Bombyx mori: one gene and its partners. The protein of the gene in region 4 purifies or fractionates together with the protein of the main gene of each other region. This does not show direct contact. Links are inferred from orthologs where the notes say so. Each region holds a gene or a part of one and is shown on either strand. Other genes may lie near its edges.

What was found.
Region 1: the proteins of DNA-directed RNA polymerase III subunit RPC3 (region 4) and DNA-directed RNA polymerase III subunit RPC2 fractionate together in Homo sapiens (co-fractionation; 4 studies listed by BioGRID and IntAct, with this or other methods). This does not show direct contact. The link is inferred for Bombyx mori from reciprocal best matches to the Homo sapiens genes POLR3C and POLR3B.
Region 2: the proteins of DNA-directed RNA polymerase III subunit RPC3 (region 4) and DNA-directed RNA polymerases I, II, and III subunit RPABC5 purify together in Homo sapiens (co-immunoprecipitation; 3 studies listed by BioGRID and IntAct, with this or other methods). This does not show direct contact. The link is inferred for Bombyx mori from reciprocal best matches to the Homo sapiens genes POLR3C and POLR2L.
Region 3: the proteins of DNA-directed RNA polymerase III subunit RPC3 (region 4) and DNA-directed RNA polymerase III subunit RPC8 purify together in Homo sapiens (affinity purification with mass spectrometry; 5 studies listed by BioGRID and IntAct, with this or other methods). This does not show direct contact. The link is inferred for Bombyx mori from reciprocal best matches to the Homo sapiens genes POLR3C and POLR3H.

Annotation. Positions count from the first base shown.
Region 1 is NC_085116.1:7,719,040-7,724,858, reverse strand, and holds the start of DNA-directed RNA polymerase III subunit RPC2, read right to left. Parts: upstream 3,317-5,819; 5' UTR 3,090-3,316; coding exon 3,015-3,089; intron 2,637-3,014; coding exon 2,305-2,636; intron 1,721-2,304; coding exon 1,608-1,720; intron 676-1,607; coding exon 500-675; intron 67-499; coding exon 1-66. UniProt on the Homo sapiens protein: Catalytic core component of RNA polymerase III (Pol III), a DNA-dependent RNA polymerase which synthesizes small non-coding RNAs using the four ribonucleoside triphosphates as substrates.
Region 2 is NC_085133.1:5,483,809-5,488,772, reverse strand, and holds DNA-directed RNA polymerases I, II, and III subunit RPABC5, read right to left. Parts: upstream 2,538-4,964; 5' UTR 2,261-2,537; coding exon 2,166-2,260; intron 1,126-2,165; coding exon 1,017-1,125; 3' UTR 951-1,016; downstream 1-950. Other genes in the region: polyamine-transporting ATPase 13A3, read left to right, coding at 4,086-4,202. UniProt on the Homo sapiens protein: DNA-dependent RNA polymerase catalyzes the transcription of DNA into RNA using the four ribonucleoside triphosphates as substrates.
Region 3 is NC_085117.1:13,231,578-13,237,095, reverse strand, and holds DNA-directed RNA polymerase III subunit RPC8, read left to right. Parts: upstream 1-2,225; 5' UTR 2,226-2,649; coding exon 2,650-2,760; intron 2,761-2,871; coding exon 2,872-3,055; intron 3,056-3,147; coding exon 3,148-3,288; intron 3,289-4,094; coding exon 4,095-4,294; 3' UTR 4,295-4,309; downstream 4,310-5,518.
Region 4 is NC_085120.1:9,120,563-9,125,637, reverse strand, and holds part of DNA-directed RNA polymerase III subunit RPC3, read left to right. Parts: intron 1-341; coding exon 342-471; intron 472-1,113; coding exon 1,114-1,318; intron 1,319-1,919; coding exon 1,920-2,012; intron 2,013-2,775; coding exon 2,776-2,943; intron 2,944-3,691; coding exon 3,692-3,872; intron 3,873-4,556; coding exon 4,557-4,677; intron 4,678-5,075. UniProt on the Homo sapiens protein: DNA-dependent RNA polymerase catalyzes the transcription of DNA into RNA using the four ribonucleoside triphosphates as substrates.

The DNA of each region.
Region 1 (5,819 bases), on a different chromosome or scaffold from region 4:
AAGCTGCATTATTTCTTGATCACTACATATGCCCATGGCTTTAAAGGCGACAGCTATTGGAATATCCTGAATATAAAAAAATACAAATTAGTGGAAACTACATAATTGGAAATTATTTATTTTAGCTTTTGAAATAGCTTTTGTAATTTTGAAGGGAAGAAGTCCAATTCAAAACATATTATGGTTTTATTTTTATTTTTTATTGCTTAGATGTGTGGACGAGCTCACAGCCCACCTGGTGTTAAGTGGTTACTGGAGCCCATAGACATCTACAAGGTAAATGCTCCACACACCTTGAGATATAGTTCTAAGATCTCAGTATAGTCACAACGGCTGCCCAACCCTTCAAACCGAAACGCATTACTGCTTCACGGCAGAAATAGGCAGGGTGGTGGTACCTACCCGTGCGGACTCACAAGAGGTCCTACCACCAGTAAAAAATACATATATAGCTTTGATTATTGTTTGTTAAATGAAATTGATTTAAGTAGTAACATACATCAGACAATGCATTATGTCTGAGCACATATTTTCCATGTTTAAGAATCACATTCGTTCTAGTTTTCTTCTCATGTGTGGAACTTGTAACCTGACATTGTACTGCTCCTTTGAATTCATCAACAATCATTCGATTTCTAGAGAGTTGCTCTTGAATTAAAATCACCTTTTCTTGACCTACAGACAATAAAAATTGTTTTTCATTACTCAAGTAAACTACATATATATGTACTTATACAGGTGTCCTGAAACTCAAGGTCAAGCGGGTACGGGGCTAGGTACTACTCGTGCAGGGAAAAATAAAAACAAAAATACATTTCATTTTAAAAACCATACATCCATTGAACTTCTATTAAAGGGGCTGCATAAATGAAAAAGCGTACATGAAGCCAATATAAAACTAACTGAATTCACTCCATGTAACTGTATGCAATAGTGATCGAATAATAAAATATTGTCACTCTTGAAATCAAAACCAATAGTGTTCGGATCCCAAAACTGTTTTCTTTTTTTTTTAGAAATTTAGATAAATTTTAGCATATTTTTTGGCTATGCTACTCAATCAGATCATCTCTTTGAACGTTCAAACGCAGTTATTTTTACAGTATCGTTAAAATGATAATTTGAATTTGATTGTCTTTAACTTTGTTTTAGAGCACTGTTAATAAATGTGTTTCATTAAAACCATATTATTTTGTCTAGAAACCTAGCTCATAACTGTATATTCACAGAGAACTCAGTATTTCATTCATTTAGACCACAAAAAAAAACCCAAATGTAGTGTGAAATGCAACCTTAATGTGGTCAATGTTAGGTTATTATGCTTTAAGTCTTGCCAAATTTTTTATTCTATGTATTTTTAACTTAAAGTTTTTCTTTATATTTATTTATTATATTTCTTTATATTATATTTATTTAAATTTTCGTTTATTTTTATTCTGACTAAATATAAGGCTCCCAATGTACTTTACTCCAGATTAACAAATTAATAAAATTTAACTTTATGATTACAATTATTACACATTTAAATATTTTATGTACATTTTACATTTATATACATTGGAGTTTTTTTTTAATATTAGTTGTATAAAATTAAATTGGTTTCTTACCTCTTATAATAAAATAGCCTCCAGGATCATGGGGACACTCATTTAACTGTGCAAGCTCAAAATCCGATTTATTAGTAAGAACGCAGTTTGAAGACCTAAGCATGAGGGGCATTCTGTAAAGAATCAAAATACAGATTTCAAAATGATATATGAGAGTGATGTTAATAATAGGTATATAATTTAATTACATTTCAAATGGCCAGTATTGTTAAACTTCATAAGCAAAGACCTAATGTTAAAGTAATTAAAGGAATCATTAACATGTTAAAAATTTGTGATACTATTACTTTGATATTGACACAAAAACTGTTTTTACTTTGACTACTTTATTAATACTTTGACAGACATGTGTCGTGAAGATAGGTAAAAGGCAGATGATGAACTACTTAAATTCCTACATCATCAATAGTTGCAGCCCATAAGTCAATCAATTTTTAACTGAGTTACATTGGGTGGGGTGGACAAACAATAAAACATAATTTCTCTGTCGAGCTTTTCATTGAATTGTTTTTAAGATAGGATATTTTCAATTGGGAGTACAGAATGTTAAATTCATTTGATATGTATAATACAGAATTTTTTAAAGCCTGGAATGTTCTGCTTTTTAGTGAGTAAGATCAAGATATAGTAATAGATCAAGCAACATTACATCTGCTAGTATTAGAATATGCATTTCTTCATTTATTTAAGATGTTACCTTCCAATCAGTTGTTTATTTTTGATCACCCTCTGGTTTCCTCTAATATATTCTATATCAACAGTTATAGGAGCTGAGTATGTTATATCTCTAAGACGACATTCATGAGGTGTCGTTGGCTTAGTGATATTGAACCCTTCTTCCAAGTCAGGTGTACCAACATAGGCATTTAAATATTTAATATAGAACAGTGGATCAGATTCACAAAATACTTTTTCATTAGCCTGTACTATCTTCTTTATCTCCACATTTATGAAGTAATTAAATGAATCTATGTGCTGTTTCACCAAACCTTTAACTTGAAGAAATGAAGGCACTAATTTCCATTTATCCTGAAAGAAAACATTCATATGAACAGTGTTAAGCTGAAATATTAGAAATTTAAGATAAAATCAGGACGTCAGTAAATTGTACTATTTTTTTCTAAGATTTTTATGATGTTATTCTATAAAATTCATACATTTTATTATTCAAATAATTATGATCATACTTTGGTAGGGTTTTGAACTCAACTGTATATTGTCACTTACAACTTTTGTTACTATACAATTGAACTTTGGAGTGATTAAATATCAATGAATGAACAAAATCTTAAAGACAGTTATATGATTTTGTTGTTTGGTTAGTAGTAATATTATAGTTCGTGTATTTTTTTTTCAATTGTGTATCAAAACAATAGTAGTAATTCAGAAAAGTAATAAAGCTAGTACCTCAAGGGTTTTGACAGGGTCCCGTAATCCTTTGGTATCCCACTCATTTTGTTTTTTATTAAGTTCGCCCATCATGTAAATTAAATAAGCTATTGTAATATTGAACTATCTTCGGCAGTAAATCATATTGTCCGTATTTACCAAGCGATGGAATCTTGGAATTGTTTTATAGAATGGAACAAATCAGATGAGTACATATGTAAACAATAAGTGCAATTTTTAACAACGAACAAACACGAGCACAATTCTGCACATTTAATTACAAACTTTAAACTCATAGATATTTTTTTGGTACAATTTTTCCTTTAAGAAAGGCAAGGGGATCTAAGCCCATACAGCGTGCCCATAAATAATTTTTAAATCCATCTATACTTTTTTTAAGGGATTTTATGACCTGGTAACTAAAACCAAGTCAAGGTCAAGTCTTATTTTAATTTTAATGAAAAGTTTTTTTAGGTAAATGAAAAATAATATTATGAAATGAAATAAAGTCGATTAATATAAAACATGGCATGAAATGAAATGAAATTAAAACGAAATAAAATGAGATGAGGTGATATGGGATGAAATATAATCTCAGTAAAACGGTGGTCATTTACTGAGACTTTTTCAGTGGATTTTCGAGGATCCCGAGAAGTTACGTTCAGCAGCTTTGTTTCATTTTCCCACATTTATGCACTTTCACAGATAATAGACAGTTAATAAACCACCGATTACCTATTTAAAGCGCCTTATTCACGATCCATCTTGCTGTACGTCCCGCCAAGGCCATGCACGATGCACGATGCAAAAGGATCATGAATAGGCTTGACGTACGTCGATAATTATTATTAATTGCGGCCTTGAGCTGACGTACAGTCGTGATGGATCGTGAATAAGGCGCTTAAACCTGAAGAAACTCTAAATAAACAAAAAAAAAAGGGTGCGTGTACTTATGTACGCGCGTAAGAAGTTAAACTTTATTTTTATTAAAGAACATCCTCAAACACGCATATTGGACATCCCTTTTCTTGACATCGTATAAATTCGGTAATTCTCGGTACGGTTCGGACAATACACGACGACCTGGGCCTTGAATCAATCCAGAAATACATGAAGTCAGCGTCGGAACGGTACTTCGATAAGGATATGCGTCATGATAATCGCCTTATCGTTGCCGCCGCTGACTACTCACCGAATCCTGATCATGCAGGAGCCAGTCACCGTCGACGCCCTAGACACGTCCTTACGGATCCATCAGATCCAATAACCTTTGCATTAGATGCCTTCAGCTCTAATACTAGGAGCAGGCTTAGGGACCCCAGTAACCGTACTCGTCGAACTCGACAAAGAGGTCGACGTGCAACCTAGCCCATGCATCAGCCCGCTGAGCTTCTCACCGGATCTTCTCAGCGGGTCGCGATTCCGATCCGGTAGTAGATTCATTCGCGAAGCAATTGCTCTTGAGTTGTTAGGTCTCCTTCGGAGGCGCTCGGGCAGCTGTTAGCAAATCCCACCCCTCCTGGCTGAGCCTTTGCTCGCCCACCTGTCCTGGTGAAACTGGAAAGGCCTTCGGGCCACCAGTAATCTCTCAATCATAAAAAAAAAAAAAAAAACGGTTCGGACATAACTCTCAAACACAGCCCACTCTCGCCGGATCTTCTCAGTGGGTCGCGTTTCCGATCCGGTGGTAGATTCCGCGAAGCACGGCTCTTGCTAGGGTTCGTGTTATCATCGTTGTCAGGTTTGAGCCCCGTGAGCTCACCTACTAGCCACGGTTACGCTGGAATAGCCGCTCCAGGCTACCAGATTAGGCAGGAAAAAAAAAAACGGTTCGGATCACTTCGACAAAGCGGCACGACACGAGAACCCTCTCATCGTGGCCGCCGGTAACTACATTCCCGATCCTGCGGAAAGAATGGAAAGCAGTCGACGTCGCCCAAAACACGTCATTTTGGATCCTTCCGATCCACTAACGGTGCTTTTAGGTACTTCAAGCACCGGTCACCGTTCTCGTCGAACCCGTCGCTTGCGACGAAGGGCTCGACGAGCAAATTAACCCTCAGACACAGCCCACTGAGTTTCTCGCCGGATCTTCTCAGTGGGTCGCGTTTCCGATCCGGTGGTAGATTCCGCGAAGCACGGCTCTTGCTAGGGTTCGTGTTATCATCGTTGTCAGGTTTGAGCCCCGTGAGCTCACCTACTAGCCACGGTTACGCTGGAATAGCCGCTCCAGGCTACCAGATTAGGCAGGAAAAAAAAAAAACGGTTCGGATCACTTCGACAAAGCGGCACGACACGAGAACCCTCTCATCGTGGCCGCCGGTAACTACATTCCCGATCCTGCGGAAAGAATGGAAAGCAGTCGACGTCGCCCAAAACACGTAATTTGGATCCTTCCGATCCACTAACGGTGCTTTTAGGTACTTCAAGCACCGGTCACCGTTCTCGTCGAACCCGTCGCTTGCGACGAAGGGCTCGACGAGCAAATTAACCCTCAGACACAGCCCACTGAGTTTCTCGCCGGATCTTCTCAGTGGATCGCGTTTCCGATCCGGTGGTAGATTCTGCGAAGCACGGCTCTTGCAAGGGTTCGTGTTAGCAACGTCGTCAGGTTTGAGCCCCGTGAGCTCACCTACTAGTTAAGGTTACGCTGGAATAGCCTCTCAAGGCAACCAGCTTAGGTAGGAAAAAAAAAAAGAAAAAAAAAAACATTTCCGAAAGTTCACCTGCGGCTATATTCAGACTCGCCAAGTTACGTCGGTCGTATTGTAATGAGCGATTTAGTGGGCAACTTCATTCTGTTAATTTTGTATCACGGTGCGC
Region 2 (4,964 bases), on a different chromosome or scaffold from region 4:
GAGAATATTACTAATAATCTGAATTTTAAATGATAAAACTTCGTTTATTATTACTTAGTACAGAGTAATAATAAAATTTTGGAACTGAATTTGTTAGAGATTTAGCTGCATTTGTTATAACATGAAAACACTAAGGCGTGTCCAACTAACTAAACAAGATAACGCCATTGTAAATCCATTTTACGACATTAAGGCATTTAGCTGCCTTTGATTTGATAGGCCTCATATATTGTTTGTCCTGTTTTAGGTAAGTAATTCAACAGTTGATTACTTTGTAAAATAATAATAATTAAAATTTATGTGACCTTGTGCAATCACGAAGCCTATAAAAGAACAAACAAGAGTACAAACCACACCAAAAGACATCTGGGCACAACCAAAACCACAGACTATAAAACTGGATTTTGGCAAAGTCAAAAAGGATTGAATTTCAATTATAAAAGAAATTGATAATTGAAGTGTGTGACGAGCTGATAATGAGCAATAATGAAATGTGGATTGGCCGTAACAAGTAAAAAGCAATTAAAACAAGTCTCATAACAATAAAATTTTTGTAACTAGTCTTAACCTACTCTAGTTTTTTTTGGTACATGAAAAAATCACTCTTATTTAGTTTATATAGTTTCAAGGCTTTAACGATTCAGAATATTAATAAGCTGACAAAAACCTGCACCCACGCACTCGTATACAAACCTCAATTGATGCAGATTATAAAAGAAGCAAACAGCAGGTCATTTTTCAAATGTTAGAGCTTACAATAATTTTGGCTATTAAATATACAGTAGAGATAGAATTTCTTCACAAATAGACAGAAGGAACCAATGTCCTAGGCTTTGAGACTTTGACCAGTTAAAATAAATACTGTGTTAAACTTTCCATTGACAATGGGAGGCATGTAAATCAAGAGCCTTTGTGCGGTGATTAATATAGGTATGAAAGAAAAACTCTAATATCTTAAAAAATTTATGTCAATTATAGATTTTTATTTTTAATTGTGTTTTTTAAAAAATATTTCATTATTTTTCTAATGGGGAATAATTCAAGAGTTTTTCAATGAGATCCACGTGTCCGAGCAACATTCTTCTGCAGCAGTATCTTTTCAATCCAAGGACATCCAAAGCATCACTGAAAGTAAAAAAATACAATTAAATATTAACATTCACATAGTAAATCTACTGTATACAGTACGCTTAACTGACTTCGATGATTACCAGTAATCTATCACTATCAAGAGAATCTTATGCCTATAAACACATTAAAAAAGGTATAAGAATACTCAAAGCTAACAAGCATTAACAATCTTATTTCATTGCTGCAGTTGGTAGTAATGATTATATCAACTCGGGCCACTTTTTACATAGCTTACTTGTCTAGTAGGATATCATCTTACATTTATCACTTATATGCTTCCGTTTCCTCACACTCAAACTGGATATTGCAAAACAGTCCAGAGATTAATCTGGTGTCAAGATCTACCATCATTACCACCTCATTCCCGATCCTGCGGACAGAATGGAAAGCAGTCGACGTCGCCCTAAACACGTCATCTCGGATCCTCCTGATCCACTAACGGTGCTTTTAGGTACTTCAAGCACCGGTCACCGTTCTCGTCGAACCCGTCGCTTGCGACGAAGGGCTCGACGAGTAAATTAATTCTCAGACACAGCCCACTGAGTTTCTCGCCGGATCTTCTCAGTGGGTCGCGTTTCCGATCCGGTGGTAGATTCTGCGAAGCACGACTCTTGCTAGGGTTCGTGTTAGCAACATCGTCAGGTTTGAGCCCCGTGAGCTCACCTACTAAAGTTAAGGCTACGCTGAAATAGCCGCTAGGGCTATCAGCTTAGGTAGGAAAAAAAAAAAAAAAAAAAAAAAAAAAAAATTACCACCTTGTGACCTATGGATTATGATAACCACTTTAAGATAGGTGGGCTGTAAGTATGAGTTGGCAAATAAGAAAAACCCAAGTTAACAGGAATCACCTACATATTCCGTCATTTGAATTCATAAGAACATTAATATTGTTTCTGGGAGGAGCTGTTTTATCTTTCTTGCTGAATTTTTATCAAATAACTACATTATATTATGTATGTCAGTTATTTCCATTTTAAAGTTCTAGAATATTGGTAAGTATAAAAACCAGTTGCAAAACTTAAATTGTACAGTACCCTTCTGTGTAATCCGCCTGTAGCAGGCCTAAGTAAGCTTCCCATTTGTTTCCTATAACCTTCCCGCATGTGAAACATCGTACTGGAATAATCATTTTGTTTATTTCCTACAACCTAAAGTTGTGGTGAGGCACTGGGGTTATAAAGTATCAATGCTTTAACTATTTATTTGGTTTATAAAACGTATTTACTTTTAATAATAATAGAAGATATTTTAGTTACAAAGTATCATTAAATTTAATGAGAAAACACTGTAATTCTATTCTTTACAATTCACAATAATATTATTTTACTTCGAGATAAAAACTTTTTAGACTCGCAACGACAGTCATAGATTACATATTGTATTGTCTATGACTTATGATTAAAGATGACAGTGTCACAAGAAAATATGATATTTTTGTTTGTCGATTTCAATCGGCAAAAGGAATGTAGTCTATAGAACCAAATTTTAATGTTTTATTTTTAAAACATTTTAAAACATTGAATGAATGTTCATTTCATTTGAATGGTACATAATTATTTTTTAAATTTCCAAACTGACTTTTAGTGGTTGGATTTTAGAGAGTAAGATATGCTCCTTTTTAACGTTTGAGTGAAATTGATTGACGCATATTTGGAGCAGTCTACTTATTATTAGAATATTTTAATAAGTAATCAAGAAATTTTCTAAGCCAGTCTCTTAAAAAATGTGAAATGTATGGTTTTCTCTATTATTTCAGGTTAAAATGACTTTATCCCTGCAGCAACATATCAGTATTGATGACAGTCAAATGGTACGTAGCATTTCATTTGTGATCATCGGCAAATTTTCAATGTAAATAAATCAAGTTAAAACAACCATTCATTCCGTACATTAAGGCATGGGAGAGCATATCGAATTTGTGAAATCTCAAAAGTCCAAAGTTAATTATTTTATTTTGTAAATTTAATATTTCATCAGATCTACATGTGTAATGAGAGTGAATTGTGAACCGTTTGGAATATGTGAAAATGCAAAAGTTTGGGAAAATGAAAGACGAACGTCAGTCATAGCTTCTCGTATTCTTCCAAAATATGCATTAGGCTGTCAGTTGCTTAATAATAAGTTACTGCGATATTTATTTAATTTCATGTAATTCAAGTCCTATGATGTTGTTGTTGTTAAGTATATTTCATTTTCTCCTTCAGTGTTATCTGCTTCGTCTCAATATAGGAATCGACTCATTGCAATGCTGCGCTGCATAAAAATATGTTCTAAATACATTTCCAGCTGCTTTACTCCATTTTCTCATACTTGTGTACTATAACAAATGTTTTACGGTTAATAAACCATTATTTTAAGCTTTAAAGTCTGAAGAAACCCTAAATTAACTACAACGTACAATTTCCATTCGGTCTCATACAATTATTCAGTTTATTCGTTCCAGTTCACCTTTGACTGATGATTGGCTTCAGCTTAAATTACAAAACATTTTACTGTATGCGTCCCATTTCCTTTGCCTGTACTATATGAACGAATCAATAAAAATGATATTTTGACAATTGACATTAGATTATTAAAAGAAATACAACAAACAAGGGGGTTTTGTAATTTTTTGGTGATAATTTTTCTTACTTTTCTGTTGTATTTTGAATTATTTACAATTTCAAAGGTCTGGCCTTAGCGTTAATTCGGATATAATAGTGAAAAATATCTGACAGTGCAGTTATCAGGCAATTTTGCAGTATGAAATTTTAAATTTATTTTTAATTTCATGAACAAAAGCCTTGTTCTCAATTGAAATACAAGAATTCATTAAGATTATTTTAATAAGTATAAAAAAAAATGTCTTAATATGATTTCATTTCTGTAATGAAATTTAAATTTATTAGTCTACTAGATAAATTAAAAAAACAAACAATATATTACAAAGTAGTGCGATTATTGAAATAAAAAAAATGGATTCAGATGATGATATTCAACCTTTGATACATTATAAGGGAAATAGCTCTCGAGAACCACTGTATTTAGAACTTACAACACAGTTAATCAACATTGACCCTGATTTTGAACAGGTAAGGACTAGTTTTATCCTTAATAGATCAAAAACACTGAATTACTGATGATTTTTAATCAAATTAATTCATATATACATACAAAAAATCTGCTGTTCTATTTGAAAAGGTTCGTGTGGTGGGTGGTTTTGCTTAGTGAGTCATGTAAAAACAGTTCTGACTTCCAGGATGAATTAGCCAATGGCCTAATTCTGATGAAACTTGTGTTTTACTGCATTAGGAAGTGACCTTGGTGATAAAGAGGTGCCAAATGTGAAACCACAGGTTTTTTTTGTGGGCTTTGGGCTGAAGCTGTGGGACTTAATGATCTGCAGATGTTGTGAACAGACTGTGGTCCCAAAGATGTTTTTATGAAGGACTTTTATCCTGCTGGGTCAGAACCAGCCTGCTGGGTTAAAATGTGTTACGGTCTGGGTTGGTCTTCCACAGTATATTCGGTGACGACAGCTACGACCGCAATGTGGATGGCAATGCAGATCCCAGCTGATGACGTGCGGTACCCTGCAGGCGAATTCATAGGGGGTCTCTCCTTCCTCAGCAAAACAAGTCTCCCTGTCTTGCTTGCTCCACAGCTTAGGAAGCTGCCCCGATTCAAGGCAGGCTTCAATGAGCTGCACAAGCCGCTCCCCAAGGGTCTAAAGTTCCCCAAGGGAAGTCCAAATCCTAGCCCCGCCGTGAACAACGTCAGGGCAAGGGGTCGTGTCCTTGCCCCATAACCTCGGCACGGTTGCACGAATCTCCTCCTCCGAGATGCTTGGAGGG
Region 3 (5,518 bases), on a different chromosome or scaffold from region 4:
GTCTTCTTTCTCTCATGGAGTTAATAGGTACTAACCATAGATTATACTTATTATTTGATAGGTACTAACTCTATGCTTTCTCTACAGAATCAGCCTCAAATTTTATTATTAAGTGTATTACGGCTGTCCAATTTCAAAACCTAGTATCTGACAAATTTAAAAAAAAGTGTGTTTTTGCATTTTTCGACCTTGTAGACCATTCTCCACATATTAGGATAGCAAAAACCCCCAAAAATTTGTAAAAAACGAAGTTACACAAAGTCGGAAACCTAGTATCTACAGTAAAGGTTTTCAAAATGCAAAAATTACAAGATTAGAACATAGTATATAACATCAACCATTTTAAAAACCTAATAAGTGCTTGTAGTTACTTGGATTTAAAATGGTTCATGCAGATACTAAGGCAATGAAATGGTTGAAATAAACGTCAAAACTCCCGCGAAACTTTAGTAAGTGAGAAAATCGTTGCACGTTGTTCGTGTTTTTGTCTATAAAATGAGTAAAAATCAGTTTTATAGGTCGAAATTGATCTTGAATGCTTTAAAAGAACAACATGGTGAAATGTAAGTACGCTTCAGTGTGTTTTATTATTGTCAAGGTTTTTTGTTTTCCAAAATTGCAACCTACTACGACACATAAAGTAAATGAAGGTGCAAATATTCCAGAGGATGTTAAAACTGCATACGGGGATCACAAAGCTAGAGCAAGTAAAGCAATACAAAAGTATCAAGAAGATGCCTCCCTAGAAAATACTTCCTCTGTGAGATACTATTCGATGGATTTACAAAAAGTTATGTTGTTACCCGACATGCCTAAAGTCAAAGAATCGTTTTTCTTGAGTAGAATGATAACTTTCAACTTGACATTTGCACCAATCAGAAAGAAAACGAATGTTAATAATATTTGTATTCTATGGCATGAAGCCTGTTCTGGACGAGATGCTCATGACATTGTTAATGCAATTGCAGCAATGATCGAAAAAGAAAGAGATTTTAATCATTTGATATTGTGGTGTGATAATTGCAGAGCTCAAAATAAAAATTGGATCCTCTTTACATCACTTGTTACTATAATAATCTCTGGGTTTTTCAATTTAAAAAGTTGGACTTTGTAATACCTACCTAACTAAAGATCACACAAGCATGTCGCTGATGGAGTTCATGGCAATATGGAGAGGCAGATTAAAAACAAAAGATGCTGTGTACGATTTTGAAGACTATAAGAATGTAATTTTGGGTTGCAAATCGCATATTGAAGTTATCGAATTCGAAAAATCGTATGAGTGGGTAAAAAAGAAACGCATACCGCGACGCAATGATGACCTTGTTCCCATTAATAATTTTTTGCTTAGTTCTTTGGTTGAAATAATATTTGTAAATGGGTGCCGTAATATGTTTTGAATGATTTTTAATCTCCGTATTCCGAGTTGAATTCTCTTATTAAAAACACAATCTCTTGATCATGCCAACCTTAAAAAATATTCCAAGAGGCATTAACGAAAGTAATAAGGAAGGCATAGTAACAACTTTATTTAGCTTAAAGAAGTTTTGGAGAAGAAGTCTTGGCAAAGTGTACCGATTAATAATAATCCAGTTAATTTAGTTTCTAGTGGACAAATATTAATAACCGAATAATTTATTTTTATTTGACTGTTTTCAAATATTTTGAGTGATTATTTTTTGATTTTTTACTGTGAACAAATAGTGTTTGGTTTCCGATTATGTGTTTTTTTTTTCTTTTTCATTAAAACTGCTTATTTCTGCCCATATTTATGTTGTTTTATTCTGTTTTTTCTTACTATGTTTAAAAAATTGCATTTAGTTCCTACTCAGTAAATTCAGACCTAAATGAAAACAAAGCAAGTGATCTTACTAAGTCTATTAATTTGCGTTTATCCCCACTCATTATATTTTAGAATTAGATGAAAACAAAGCAAGTGATCTTACTAGGTTTTGAAATTGTCACACTCAAAAAGTTTGATCTAAGAAAACAATCTTTTTATTAGTAACTGCTCCTCTACGCACATCTTTTGTGATAGACGCATGAAATCTACTTTTTTATAAAGCCTGTTATGCACCTCAAATTTTGCAATCACTCTCAAGAAGGTACGACTAATATTATTGAAACGGCACGCTGTCAAAGATATGAAATTGTTTTTCGGCTCTCCTGTAAAATTTAGTTTTATGCAGATACTGGGTTTTGATATTTCACAGCCGATTAGTATCGACGCTTGAAAGGCAAACGTGACTAGGTGACAATGCAATGACAATGCGTGAACTTTACAGTAGACTAAAGTTAAAGTTGGAATACCTGAAAAAAATCTATTTTAACGAATCTAGCTGTAGTAGAATCTAGCTAGTAGCTGTAGGATTGAAATGATTTTAATAGACCTAGAAATATATAGTTTTTGCGCCTCGAATATGGTTATTGCCTATCATTTATGTACAAAGCAGTTATTGTCGCTTAGTCACGTTTGCCTTTCAAGCGTCGATATGGAATGAAACATTGGAAGGTGGACTTAAAAAACTCGTACCCATGCCTTCAATTCTTAAAAAAAAAAGCAAAATAGTAAACAGAGCAGACCATAAAATCTTCAAAAACCGAAGTTTTAAATAGAATTTAATAGTAACATATTTATCAAATAAACCAATGTTTGTATTAGCTGAAATGAAAGATGTTATTCGAGTTAATCCAGAATACTTTCGTCAAAGTCTAACTGATTCTATAACAACTTTACTCAACAGAAAGTTAGCTAATAAGGTTCATAAATCATAACTATCCAAATTAATTTAACCGAATTAGTTTATCTAATTGTATTTATTATTAGTTGTATATTGTATAATATATATGTTATTAAATATGTATTTTCAGGTTGTGTTAGAAGTAGGTTTATGTATTGTACTGTTTGACATAACCAATGTTGGACACTCGTACATATTCCCTGGAGACGGTTCATCTCACACAGAGGTGAAATTTAGATATATCGTGTTTCGACCTATTATTGAAGAGATACTTATAGGAAAAATAAGGAGCTGCAGTAGAGAAGGCGTGCACGGTAATTTATCAGTCATAAAATTACATGTATACTCAATAATGAGACCCAAATGTAAATAAATCATGATTATAATTACTATTTAAAATTTTCAGTGACATTAGGCTTTTTCGATGATATATTAATACCAGTAAATGCTCTTCAGCATCCGTCTAGATTTGACGAAACCGATCAAGCATGGGTATGGGAATATCCTAAGGAAGATGGAGAAAAACATGATTTGTTCATGGACTCGGGTGTGTATTATCAAACTCCAATTAATTAATATACATTTAATAATTTTTAATAAATAAGTTAAAATTTTAAATATATGTTAATATCTATTAAAGTACACTTGCTGAGTGAAACACAATGTGTTGGTGTCGTAGTCTGGTCCCAGCATTAGCATTGCTACCTTTGTATTGTTTAGAAATGCCACAGATGGGTTTTCTATAATAAAGATTCCCGCAGGCAGGTGCCAATGCTTCTAATGAAATACGTACTTAACAAATGTTCACGAATGACGTCCACAATGATGGAATAATATTGGGTGATAAAAACCAAACTTGCAAAATTATAATTTGTATAATTAGGTAGTAGGACATCTTATGAGTCCACATGGGTGGACTCCACCACCAGCTGCCTATTTCTGTGTCAACCAGTAGTGTTTGGTTTTAAGGATGGAGCATGTGTTGCACTGTAAAAACGGAGACCATAGAACTTATGTCCCAGGGTGGGTGGCTGCATTTAAATTTTAGATGTCTATGTGCTTCAGTAACTACTTAATGCCAGGTGGGCCATGTGATTGTCCACTCATTTAAGCAAAATAAAATATGCCAAAACACAGGTTAGCACTGTTGACTAACAAAACTTAATAAAATGGGTATTTGTTTAGAAGACAATGCCAATAATAAAAGCACCTAAAAAACTACATTGGTGGATTGACACAATCTAGATGTAAATTATAATAACTACACAAATATTATGCCTTATCATCACTACAAAGATTCTTTTTACTGTTAACATTGAAAATCTGTACTTTTAATAATAAAACAAATTACAGGTGAATCAATAAGATTTCGAGTGACAAGTGAGTTTTTTGAAGAGAGCTTACCAACAGGTCCTCCAGGAACAGATTGTACAGTACAAACGGTAGCACCTTATAGACTGATTGGAGGAATAAATGAACCAGGACTTGGACTTTTAACCTGGTGGGAGACACCAGATCAAGAGGGTGAAGAGGATGAAATAGATGATGAATAAAATATTCAGCTTCTATTGTTATTTTTTTATTTGTACTATGTTTGGGGAAACGGTTTGTTAAACTTCTCTGAATGTCTCCAAAGGAAGCTAATCATAAAAGGCACATGGCAAGTCCATCTATCAGGAGATTGAAATTGTGAGCTACTGAGAATATACAGGGAAACTAAGAGGGTTTAGTTGCTGATTAAATTATTTTTTTAGTTTCGATGGGTGGACACACTCATAGCCCTAGTATTAAGTGGTTACTGGAGCCCATAGACATCTACAACGTAAATGTGCCACCCACCTTGAAATATAAGTTCTAAGTCCCCAGTATAGTTACAACAGCTGCCCCTCCCTTCAAACCGAAATACATTACTGCTTTACGGAAGAAATAGGCTGGGTGGTGGTACCTACACGTGCGGACTCACAAAGGCCCTGCCACCAGTAATTACGCAAATTATAATTTTGCGTGTAATATACTAAAGATGGGTTCAAATTCAAGTGACGTCTATAGGTTCTGGTAACCCCTAAAGATTGGAATGAGCCATCTGGAACTAATCATAAGAGTCAGTTGATAATAACTGTATGTAGACTTCCACTTTATTCAAGGAGGACGTTGATTATTGTCTGCTTAAGATTCGCTATTAATTCAAGAATTATAACCTCATTAAAACGTTAAAGTAAATTAAAAAGTAAAATATAATTTGCAACAATATTTATTTAACATGATTATATAATAATACATAGTGATTATATTCCATTATTTTATTATAATTTTAAAATAATAAGTAAATGCCAATCTTAACTTAAGAATTCGGCGTTATAAGTAGATACTATGCCATAGTAACCTTGTCGAAAAAAAACCTAAAATCACAGTGTTTTGACCTGGGTCTAAATCCTTTAATGCACCAAATTACAAAAAGTTATGGGTCAGGCATATGTAACCAACTAATGATACTTTTTGATGAGATCACTCAGTTCAAAAAGGAATAAAATAAAATCTAGAATAGTTAAAATTACTTTTACACTATCACTTTCTACAATATTAAAATCACCTTGCAAAATAAATAACAATGTGTTACAAAAAAAACCGGTTTGATCCTTTTCTGCTAGCTATACAGGGTATAGGTACTGTATACACTTAAGCATTATGTAAGTTAAGCTTGTGCAGTTTTGCCTGTACATGGGATTTTTTTGAATATTAGTGGAATTGTATGAAAATTTGCTATATTTGTCAGAATA
Region 4 (5,075 bases):
GTTTATTTTGAGTAATACTTGTCGTATACCGTTATCCACCAGCTATGATATAAATAGTTACCAGTAAATCAGGGGTGGGCAAATACTTTAAAGCGCGGGCCAAAATGAAATTTTCAAAATGTCTCCCGGGCCGGAGGACTATACCGCATATGCTTTTTTACCGCATATGCTTTTTTAATGCTGATGTCAACAAAATCTCATAAAAGAGTTTAAAAAAATTTATGTGCGGAATTTTTCAACGGGCCGGATAAAATTAGCAAAAGGGCCGGATCCGGCCCGCGGGCCGGCTTTTGCCCACCCCTGCAGTAAATGTTGGTATGATTAGTGTTAATTTTCTTCAGGTATTTACTACAAATTAAAACGAAGTACGGTAGTGAAGCAGAAATATTGATTGAAGAGTTGTTACAAAAGGCATGTTCCACTGCTACCGTGCTATTAGTCTCCATTGCTGTTAAATATAAAGATGACAAGGTACTTAGTTCATAGTCATTTTATAAGCACCACCACTAAAGTGGCATATTTAGATCTGGCATTCTCAGTTTATTTGCAGGAACAATTTACATTTAATATGATAAATAAGATAGTAGAAGGAAAAACTTATAGAAAGCCTAATTTAAGTTGTGGCCAGTGCACATGATAACTCTAACAATATAAATAATAAATCCTTGTTATTACATTGCTTTAAATTTGAGTTTCAGGAATATGCAAAAAAAATTCGGATATCCATTGTCAGATAGACAGACAGAAAAAAACAACAAAATGATTCTATAACGGTTTCTTTTTATCCTTTTAAGATCTGGAATTCCAAAAAGAACCCATTTTACTCAAAATGTTTATTACTTTACATTACAATATAATATATATTATATCACATACTATAATTACTATGGTTATCTAATAATGCGTAAATTTATGGTAGTAGTTGTCTGACGTCCATAACCATACTCACCATACTCACCATCAGGTGGGCCGTATGCTCGTCTGCCTACAAGGGCAATAATAAAAAACCATAAGCACAAAATATTTTGATTTATACAATGTTCCTTATTACTAGGCAAATTATTTGTATTCATTTCTTTTAGCTATTCTGATAAATATTGCTTTCTTCACCAGGAAAAGAACATGACTATAGTGAAACTAAAAGATATCTTTATAAGTCTGATAACCGCTGGTTACATACAGCAGGCATCTGTAGCTGAGTTGAAGGAAGGCAGCGAGATACCGACACTGGTGCCCGTCGCAACTATAACACCAGAGATTGATGTACGAGCTGTCATTAAAATTATGAATTCTGGAAATCTAGCTGAAAGTAGTGATAGTGAGTAATTTCAATATCATCTTGCTTGTCGAACAACAGAGTATGAACTGGAGTTGCCATTGCGAAACCCAGTAATAGTGTTGTCAAAGACAGCCCGGCATTCCCTCTAATAATAAGTCCGAGCATCACCTATGTATGTCACTGTTAAACATGATACTCAATGAGTAATTTTAACACGATCCAAATTATATTTTCCATTGAATACTGCTCGTAGAACAACAGAATATGAACTGGAGATACCGTTGCGAAAGTTAGTGATATTGTTGTCAAAGAAAGCCTGGCATTCCACCTAATAATAAGTCCGAGCATCACCTATGGATGTCTCTGTTGAAAATGATATTCAAATTCCAAATCAAATGAAGAAGAATATTATAATGTGTAGATGATGTGAGAGGCTGCATTGTTGAGCTTTGATGGGTCATGCTGGGCAGACTGGTTAATGGTCTACCTGATTTTAAATGATCATAGATACCCCAATATAAAAACCACAACATGAGTCATGAATGAATGTTTGAATATAAGATATTTGACAGATTGGTAGGCCATTGGTCAATATTGATTTATTAAATAAGAATTTGAGATATTTATGTTATTGTTTCAGATGTGTACTGGAAAGTTAATTACGACAGGTTCCATCAGGATATCCGCGACGAAATTATGATCAAAGCAATCACAAGACGAATAGATGAAAACGGTGAATGTTGTTTTCTTTTTTAAACGTCTTTCGAGGCAGACACAGGGATACGTTAGCAATGCTAGAGGTCATCGAAATTTTTTTTTGTTCTACCCAAGATTGGTTTTTGCATATGTGGATGAAGAAGATTAAGACTCAATTGCTTTCTCTGCTTTGCGGCAGAATGGTACCTACCTGTGCGGGCTCACAAGACGCTCTACTGTAATTAAGAAGTTTATGACTTTTACAGGTTTGATATTTGCCTTCAGTGTCCTAGGAATTGAGAATACTGGCTATCTCTGGCTGGGAGTGCTCTGTGGAATTGTTTGAGATGATACCATCATCTCGTTTTTACCACCGCACCGCCCGCCACCGGAGTAGAGTTCATCCATATTACCTGGACCCACTGCGTTTCCAGAGATCTTTTTTGCCACGTACCATCCGGCTTTGGAATAAGCTCCCCTCCACGGTGTTTCCTGAGCACTATGTCACTGTCATGTCACTCTTCAAAGGAGGCTTGTGGAGAGTATTTAACGGTAGGCAGCGGCTTGGCTCTGCCCATGGCATTGCTGAAGTCCATGGGCGACGGTAACCACTTACCATCAGGTGGGCCGTATGCTTGTCTGCCTACAAGGGCAATAAAAAAATATATCAACATCAACCAAACATTTATGTCATTGTTCAAACGAGGTTTGCGGCGAGCATTGCTGTCATATGAATAGCCGGACAGACTGATATCTTTGGAGTTCCTCTGATGAGTTGTGAATTTTGTATTCTTCTCCAGCCGGTGAGCTTCTTCGTCATATGCTGCAACACATGTACCTGACGTCTCCGGCGTGGGCTGCAGAGTCTACACTAGTGCCGGCCGTGGAATTGAGGGAGGCTTGTCTCCGGGCCGCTGCTGACAAGCCCCTCTTGAATCAGTATTTCGATCAATATCTGAAGGTCTTAGGTGAGGTTTTTTTATGAGTAAGTGAGTATTCTTTAGTGTGCACCCAAAAAAAAAACAATGCGATACGTTAAATAAAAAAGTACAATTGGAGGTGTTATCGCTAAGAGCGATCTCTTCCAGACAAACATCAGGTAGACAAGATTCATTTGGAAACGAATATTTTTTTTTTATGATTGAAGATTTACTGGTGGCCTGGAGGCCTTGCCAGTTTCACCAGGACGGGTGGGCGAGCAAAGGCTCAGCCAGAAGGGGTAGGATTTGCTAACAGCTGCCCGAGCACCTCCAAAGGAGACCTAACAACTCAAGAGCAGCTGCTTCACGGATGAATCTACTACCAGATCGGAATCGCGATCCGCTGAGAAGATCCTTACGTGCGGTGTACTAATCCAGTGAAATATATATTTATACACATACATATGCACAATTGAAAATTCATAAATTATGAGTTGAAGTAATATTGAATTATGGTGAATCTGACGCGTCATTTCGGATCCTCCCGATCCATTATCGGTGCTTTTAGGCACCACAAGCACCTGTCATCGTTTTCGTCGAAACCGTCGCTTGTGACGTAGGTCCCGGCGAGTAAATTGACCCATAGACATAGCCCACTGAGTTTCTCGCTGGATCTTCTCAGTGGGTCGCGTTTACCATCTGGTCGTGGATTCTGCGAAGCACTGCTCTTGCTAGGGTTAATGTTAGCAACACGCTTACGTTACGCTGACATAGCCTCTCAAACTTATTAGCTTAGGCAGGAAAAAAAAGAGTGCGTTGCGTGTGACAGAGGAGAGCGGGTGCGGCACGGTGCGGGCGGACGCGGGGGGGCGGGGGTACAGCGTGCGGGGGGCGGGCGCGGCGCGGGGGTGCCTGCTGGCGCTGCTGGAGGGGCTGGTCACGGAGAGACTGGGCTACAAGGCCGCCAGGATATTCAGGTTAAACTTTGCTTTTTTTTTACTGGTGGTAGGACCTCTTGTGGGTCCGCGCGGGTAGGTACCACCGCCCCGCCTATTTCTGCCGTGAAGCAGTAATGCGTTTCGGTTTGAAGGGTGGGGCAGTCGTTGTAACTATACTGAGACCTTAGAACTTATATCTCAAGGTGGGTGGTGCGTTTACGTTGTAGATGTCTATGGGCTCCGGTAACCCCTTACACCAGCTGGGCTATGAGCTTGTCCACCCATCTAAGCAATAAAAAAAAAATCACACGTCATTTCTCTCGGCACATTTCCACGAAAAGTCACACACCGATTAATCGATCGACGATTTAAGGTCTGTAATTATTATTAAAATACTTTGATTTGTGCCAAAGATATCACGAAATAGTAGTATCGGTAGGCGAGTAGCAGTTTCAGTAACAGATTTTCATTGTCTCATCGATTGATTAGTTAATGAGGCGATATTATTGATTGTAGGGTATAATCAAACAAAACATCCACCACCTATCCGTAGTTCCGTATTCTAATTCGAATTTGAGCCAGCCGGTGTACAATTTAATATTCGTGATGTCCATGGGCTCTCGACCTTAACGCCAGATCAGACGTGAGCTCGTTCGCCCATTTATAACAATGAAGTCAAAAAATATGTTTTTTTTTTTATAATTATTGTATATTTTTTTTCAGAATAATTCTCGATAAGAAATATATAGAAGAGGATGACGTACAAAAAAACGCCATGCTACCAAATAAGGAATGCAAAGAGCTGTCGTATAAACTTTTAGAAGAGCATTTCATTAGTTTACAGGTGGGTATAGTATGTCCGGACTCTTTCGGTTTCAAATTTGAGGTCTACCGTCTGATGCGGATTCTCTCGAAATGATCTTCAGTTCACGTCGGACTCAGAGCCAAGATCTGCAGGGTCGGAGGCTCATATGGACAGCACTGCGTTCATATGAGCCTTCGACCTCACCGAACCCGTTGCAAGCGACAGGTAATTAACCCACAGACACAGTCCACTGAGTTTCTCGCCGGATCATCTCAGTGGGTCGCGTTTCCGATCCGGTGGTAGATTCTGTGAAGCACTGCTCTTGCTAGGGTCAGTGTTAGCAACACTTTCGGTTTGAGGTCGGTGAGCTCACCTACATGTTAGGGCGAAGCTGAAATAGCTTCTCAAGGCTATCAGCATAGATAGGAAAAAAAATA